2 linked regions of the Drosophila melanogaster genome follow. The protein of the gene in region 1 interacts with the protein of each later gene in a biochemical or structural test. Each region holds a gene or a part of one and is shown on either strand. Other genes may lie near its edges.

Region 1 (3,755 bases):
GGATCCTGCTACCATTGAAGCTCTGCTGGAGCACGCTCAAACTGGCGAGGCTCCCAATTTATCGGTGGCTGCCTTACAGGCTCTGAAAGCCTTTCCCCTAGGTAGCTTTAACTCTTCACATCGCTTGCAGTTCGAGAGCATATTCTACCAGCGAAAGCGTCGCTTTGATAGCTCCGCTCGCACTCTGGCTCTTGATATTATCCTGTCCCTCCGGCCAACTCAGGAGCAATTGGGCAACTTCTTGGATTACCTAGCCTCCAATGATCGCCAGTTTGAGATCAAAACATACGTGCTGCAGAAGCTAAGAATGCTGGCTGAGAAGTGCCCGCGATTTAGGGCTTTGTTCAAATCGGAGCTTGTCAAGCGGAGGCATGTAAACAACTACAATGTGCTGGGACAAAAGGGTGAGTACCTAATTTCCTAATGACACTGTTCAAACAATTATGAACTTTAATACTTACAGGTCTTACGACAGTCCTCACCCGTCAGCTTTCCCAGGCTCCAGCCTTCAACGAAACCCTGCTAAGTACCCAGGAAGTGTATCAGGGAATCCTGAAACGTGGCTCCGTGGAATTTCTGCTCCACGCAGGCCGTTCCCAAGCCAGCAGCTTTAAATTGGGCATCTACACTGCCGGCTTGGGCTCGCTGGTAGGCGATGGTGACTCCGGCGATGGAAATGATGCAATCCCGGCGGATGATGAGTTCAGCGAAGACGAAGCGGTCACCGCGGGCATGGAGATCAGTGTGCAGGGTGCTCAATTGCGACCCCTAGTATTCTTCAGCGGTCAGACCGAGCTAATGGGTCACGTGTGGGGAGGAAGTGCCTCGGACTCAACGCCCGCTTACCAGGCAACCACTTTGTCCCAGGATAACGAGCACTACATAATCCTGACCTCCGGGGCGACGCTCCACTGGCGAGTTCTGGGCGCCAGGAGTGTGGATCTCAATGGCAAGGTGGGATTCAGCCTGTGGAATCGAAATGCCCAGACGGAAATCCAGCAGAAGTAAGTGAAAAAGCCAAAGCATTTGATTGGAATGTTATTTAACTCACGATTAACTTTTGGCTTATAGCACTGGCAGCGCTGTTCTTGGTCATTTGGCCGTTGGCTTTACGTATGCGAAATTAGTGCAGGATTTCAGCATCACCCACGAACCAAAGTTGAGTCTGAATGCGGACTTGGACTTCTACAGCGGCATTAAATTGTGCATGCAACTCCAGCGACCTGAACAGCTTCTCAAGTAAGTTTGCTAGAACTATTTTAATGACTCACATGCTAATTGAAAGCCTCCTTCACAGACAAACCAACGTTCGTTCGGTTTTCCTGCAGTCTGTTGATCGTCCTTATGCCAAACATGTGCGCTCTACACTCTCCCACAAAACTGCCGGCTGCACTTTTGCCCTCAACCAAAAAAACAACGAAATGTGCAACCTCATTTTTAGGGACTTGTAGATTCTACTCAAGAGATTATTGGAGATTCCTTGCATAAAAACTATATTTCTATGTGAAAACTCAGAGATTAAGACTCGATATAGTTGTAAACTTAAACGAACAAAGACCATTTAATTTTCAAATGCAACAAGTTTTTAATATCTTTTGAGCAACTCGAAAATTACTGGAAAAGTGGAAATGTGCATTTTTTCTCGATTCACAATAGTCACACCTTAGATTTAAAAATCCCGCCCAAGTGCTGCGAAACGCGAAAGGGGACTTATCGAGCTATCGATTGCAAGAGCTACGCATTCCCATCCCTAAATTCCGCAGTACATTCAAACACTACTACGTTGTGCTTCTTCTTCAAACGCGGCATAAAAGAGGTGCACTCCACAAGCACGAAAAGAAAATAACTACTGCAAAAATATCGTCGAACGCACGAGTCATATTAAATAAAGGTTAATAGAAGCAGGCATCGGAAAAGCTTGATTCCGGAGAAGTGAAACAAATTAGGCCACCGAATGGTGCTCTTCTTCTTTTTGTCGGAATTAGAAGGCTCGTCGCACACACACAGTCGCAAACAAATGCGAAATCAAAAGCGTCATCCGATTGTCTAAAGTAAATACTTCTATTTGCAAGCTGAAAGGCGCGACAAATTAAATAGTTCAAACTTAATAAATCGATATTTGTGTCACCAATTTGCGCGTTTAAATCAAGTGCTAAGCAATGTACTAAAATTAACAATTCCCTTGCCTTTTAAACTCATACAAACACAATTGGAGCGAGAAAGAGATGGGAAAGAAGAAGAATTGTTGTTGTTGACGTGTTCTGTTTGTGCTCATGTGTGCGTGTTCGGGAATTTCTGTTGCGTGAAGTTGCAATACCAAAAAAACCACGTGTGAAATGTTCTGCAATTTTTGTAATTTATTCTGCTGAATTGTTATCACTTTTTAAGAAAACAATCTGTAAGAGGCGTTTGCCTTGGCATCTTATTGGCACAACATTTTAACGCAAATTACTACTCCGTACGAAAGCATTAAGAATCATAAATAAATAAAAAACGAGATCTGAAATCTGAAATATGTATATTGAAGAAAGATCTAGAATATCCAAAACCAGGGGCACAGATGGTGACTATTTTTGTGAACTGCATTGTGATAGGGGTACCTTTTTACCACACACACTTGCGCACTTGCTGCTCTCTCCCTATTCTCCCACTTTTTATAACGGTATCACGCACCCTGCTTATCGGCATTGTGAAAATTTTGTTTGGCTTTAAAGAAATTTCCATTCATAATAATTTTGTGTATTTCAAAAGTTGGTTTATTTGCAAAAATATGTATAAATTCATTTGCTAACATTAGTTTTTTACTTGTATGGTTTGGGTGATGCTCTCTCAAACTTCTTTAAGTCTCACTCGTCCGACATCCAACCGCACAGTGGGAAAGTTCTTAATCCTTTCTGCCATTATTTCAGTGCTTAAAACAGGATTTTTTGTGTGAAAAATCCGAATTCACTGATATAAATACACTAAATTGTTGTTATGTTATGTTTTAGTAAAGTTGGAATTAGCTTGATAAAATCATGATTTTATTATTCTTTAGTTTTTTAATAATGAGATTTTGTAAATTGTTCCTAAACAATAAACAATAATAACTAAAAAAAAAAAACAGTATTTCATGCATACCACTGCACATTAATCCCACTGTTCGTCAAACGTTGGAGAGCGAGCAACGACGAGAGGTTCGCAACCGAAGCAGCAAACGAAAGTCTATTTAAGCAACCCGCAAAAGGCGCTCTTTCGTATTGCCCGATAATTTTTCGACCGCGCTGCTTGTGTTTTCGGTTCCCGCTGAAACAAACATAAAAAAAAGAATATAAAAAATATATATAAAAAAAAATGGATGTAGGGCGAAAATAGTTAAACCACTTTAAATATACGAAATACGCGAATTTCGGAAACTAGAAAATCCATCTTTTAAGGTAGTTTATTTATCCATCTCGCTTTTTCACTCTCCTCTGTGTGCGTGCGTGAGTGTGTGTGTAAAGGCCAAATAGTGCCCTTCGCCTCCCCGGCCACGCCCCCTTGGGCAGAGTAATAAAATGGGAAAGAGAATATATATCTTGCTCCTTTAGAATTTACCTGTGAAAGTGAAAACGTGACAACACGATAAAACGGACGAAGCAAGCAAAACAAAAAACGAGTGCATAAAAACAACGAAGGAGGATAAGAAAAAGAACAAGTGCAGCAAATCAGAAAAAAGAGAACGGAACAAGAACACAGAAAAAAAGTAAAAATAACCAACGAAGAAGGGCAAGGAA
Region 2 (3,755 bases), on another chromosome or scaffold:
GCAAGGTTTGCTCAGCCGTCAGCCCGGAGGCAGTGCCCGTTGCCGAATCGGACTCGGATGACGCCGGCTCAATGGACGACTCGGCCGAAGCCCCACGTCCAGGTCACCTAAATGGTGATCAGATTCAAGAGAAGCTATCACCCTCCCATTGGGATGATTTCGGCTCCTCCGACGATGATGCCGTCTTTCAGCGTGCGTTCGATACCAAAGTGCAGAGTCGCGTGGTGACCCTCTCCGATGATCAACCATCTACTTCTGCGGGGGCACGCGCTTTAGCCGATCGTGGAACTCGCACATTTGAATCACAGGGAACGCAAACAACATTTCTCTCAAGTGTAGTAACCTCGTTTCGCTCTGCTACTGCAACTGCGACATCATCCACATCCACATCCACATCCACATCCGCATCGACACTTGATAACCAAGAAAACACTGAGCCGTCCACATCGAATGGACGTCGTCCCTGGCGCCCTAGATACGTCTCGCCGCCTAGACACGTGTCGGATAGCGATGACGATAGTGATGAATATGATAGTGATGAATATGAGTCGAAGAGGCGCCAACTTACGCCCACTGCCGCTGCGCCGTCGAATGGCAGGCGTCTGTTGGGCTCCATCTCGCCGGAGCCGAGCACTCCTGCTCCACGTGTCTTACGTCGCCGCACTTTGGCCAACAGGCCTTCCTCACTCGCCAACATGGATATATCCTGTGTGGCCAATAGGACCCGCCACCGCTTGTCCAACCACATGGCCAGCCGCAAGGATTAGGAGAACAGATGACATTACAATAGATCACACTCGCACAAATCCATGTACACGGCAAGATCAATATGGATATATCCTGAGTGGGCAGGATACCCGCAGGGACTAGGAGAACAGATGACAACATCACGATACATAACACTTGCACATTCCATTAACCATCACATCGACTAGGTTGTGGACCAAATGCGTGCGTTTGGTTCGCACCCGTTATTCTCTATTTTCCGCCTTTTGTACATATAAAATTCCATTAAAATCCTGTTCTCCTAGCGGTATTCGCTAATAAGATGCATTTACCATTTATTTGCTTTGTTAAGTAAGCTAAGTAAGTGCTCCTTTCCACACGTATAAATAACTTGTATACATATTTACTTTAAGTAGCTGTAGACATTATTTTCCCCATCTGACTTTCTTTTCAGCAGCTCGCAGTGCCTACATTATTTCAATTACTCTAAGCATTACATTTTTTTGACTAGCGATCTAAGAATCCCTGAATCCAGTATCTGTATCAAGAATCCCAGTATCTGAACGCTAAAATGAAATAAATAAAATTAAAATATTTGAAAAATAAGTTAGAATGATTTTATTTGGATGTTGAAAAAACTTCTCAAAAGTTGTAAACTACGAATACTCACTTTCATTAAGAGTATAGCGTTTTGCTTCTAGTTAATACCCGCTACAAATCGGTATGAAAGTATATAATATTTAGTTTTTTTTTTGGTATTAATATAATATGGGCTTTATAAGTGATTATTTGAAGATTTTTTAAAAATCGCGCCATTCATAATAAATAAGTGCTGGATATGGCCAAAAGTTTATGCACAGGTGGCAACGTTAGCAACCCGCTAAACGGCAACACTTGCGATAATGTTCTCTAAATATATCGATACATATTGATATTAAAAAAAATTGCCAGTATTAATTTATTAAACTAATTTAATTTTTTGAGTGGGCACATTGCATATTTAGTTACAGAAAAATTCGACTTTATGCTCCGGCTAAATGAATCGATGTTTGTGGGGTACTATCTATCCTAAACTATCGATAGCATAAACATCGCATTTGGTTCCGTCTCTAGTGTGGGTGCGTTAGCAATAGTTTATCCAGAATATGAATTAACCAGAATTAATCCGCAACGCCGACGCCCACAAATTCCCACAAATCGTCGTCCTTTCAGCGCTGCAAGAGCAACCCGGAAGCTGGAAAGTTCGAGACCGCCGAGAAGCCCAATATAAATTCAACAGTCAGCCAGAGCTTCACTCCTGTGTGTGTGTGCGTGCGTGCGTATGTGTTCGTGTGTTGTGTCTGTGCTACAGTGTTGGAGAGAGCGAGACGCACGATTGCGAGGGAGTCGAGCTTTGCGAAAATTTGCCAGCCTATATTGAAATATTTTCGGCACCAAATCGCCGTCTTATCCGCCAGCAAGCCATTGGATCTGATGGAAATGAGCCTGCCGCTCGATTTCTCTTCGCAAATCCGCTGTTAAAGCAAAAGCAACAATTGTACCAGTGGAGCCAAAAAAAGAGAAACACACCTACCTAATCAAAGGAAATTAAATAACAAGGCGGCGGCAACAACACTTACATAAATTAACTCGCAACGCAACAACACTAATAACTATAGCTTATCACACAGCAACAAAAACATCAGCAACAGCAGCAAAAACAACAACAACAACAGACCAGCAGCCAGAAAGAACAACAGCTTATCTCAGATATTCAGCCGGCTGCACCAGTGCGAGCGAGAGGGTCGTAGCTTGGGGCGAAAGAGAGGGCGCTTCCGAGAGAGTGCGAAAGAGAGAGAGAGAGAGAGTAAGCGCAGGGAGTGTGCTCCTGTGTGTGTGAGTGTGGGAGCAGGCAGCAGAAAAAAAGAAAACAAAAGTATATTTTGCATTGTTCGACGCGCCTAACTGTAAATATAAAAGCACTTGCAAAAACAAGGAAAAACACAGAAAAACAGCGAAAAAACGTCGAAAAATGGCACGCGGCTTCGATCATCTATTCAAGTTGCTAATAATCGGCGATAGCGGTGAGTTTCCCAGGCATTCCCGTTTCCCACAGACCAGGTGCTTAAAAATAGCATCGAGTTGAAAATAGCAGGTGTAAATTGCAATTTGTCCCCGTTTCCTGGCCAAAAACGCAGTTGTCTCCACCTCCCTTTCGCATTACTGCATCTGATTACCATTAATGTATGTTACATTTAAAATGCTAACGCCAACATGGCGTATGAGTAATGTTGTTTTCAGTTTCCATAATACTTTCAACATTCGTCAGCTTCTTGTTTCTATACTCAATGTTTTTGGCATACTCAACATGTGTTAGGTTGTACTAATTTTATATATTTAATCATAAATGCAAAAGCACTTTATATCAGTCCTGTCCTCCTCCTAACGTAGCTATCTACATATTCATTTGGGCGTATTTCGAGAAAGGTGGTCTGGCTCGGGCAAAACCAGGCTCATGACTAATGGTGACGCACTGGCAGGATATACAGCTTGATATGCGAGCAGACCAGCTGCGGCGGTAACCGGAGCAGGAGAACACTCCCCGCTCCACAGCAATGTCATATGCCGAATGGGCTTACTTGTGTGTAGTAACGATATCACATTTTTGTAATACGAATCCCATTCCATCTTTCCATCTGATCCCCTGCAGGCGTGGGCAAGTCGTCGCTGCTCATCCGGTTCTCGGACGACACATTCTCAGGCAGTTACATCACCACCATCGGCGTGGACTTTAAGATCCGCACCGTGGACATCGAGGGCATGCGCGTAAAGCTGCAGATCTGGGACACGGCCGGGCAGGAGCGCTTCCGGACAATCACCAGCACCTACTACCGCGGCACCCACGGCGTCATTGTCGTCTACGACGTCACGAACGGCGAATCCTTTGCGAACGTCCGCCGCTGGCTGGAGGAGATCCAGAATAACTGCGATGTGGTTAAAAAAGTATTAGGTGAGCCTATATCGTATTACGCACAGAATTGGTTGACCCG

What was found. The genes of interacting proteins can lie anywhere in the genome.
Region 2: of the proteins of sky (region 1) and Rab35, one has a biochemical effect on the other in vitro, tested with the Drosophila melanogaster proteins (one study listed by BioGRID).

Annotation. Positions count from the first base shown.
Region 1 is NT_033779.5:20,916,935-20,920,689, reverse strand, and holds the start of sky (skywalker), read left to right. Parts: upstream 1-1,758; 5' UTR 1,759-1,891; exon of another isoform or gene 1,892-2,051; intron 2,052-3,228; exon of another isoform or gene 3,229-3,547; 5' UTR 3,548-3,755. Other genes in the region: Mtp (microsomal triacylglycerol transfer protein), read left to right, coding at 1-404, 464-1,004, 1,072-1,239, 1,298-1,451. UniProt on the Drosophila melanogaster protein: GTPase-activating protein (GAP) for Rab35 which regulates synaptic vesicle (SV) protein recycling and turnover at the neuromuscular junction boutons and possibly ventral nerve cord via endosomal trafficking.
Region 2 is NC_004354.4:20,157,930-20,161,684, reverse strand, and holds the start of Rab35 (Rab35), read left to right. Parts: upstream 1-1,812; 5' UTR 1,813-2,737; coding exon 2,738-2,789; intron 2,790-3,156; exon of another isoform or gene 3,157-3,327; coding exon of another isoform or gene 3,328-3,346; intron 3,347-3,415; coding exon 3,416-3,715; intron 3,716-3,755. Other genes in the region: Phf7 (PHD finger protein 7), read left to right, coding at 1-767.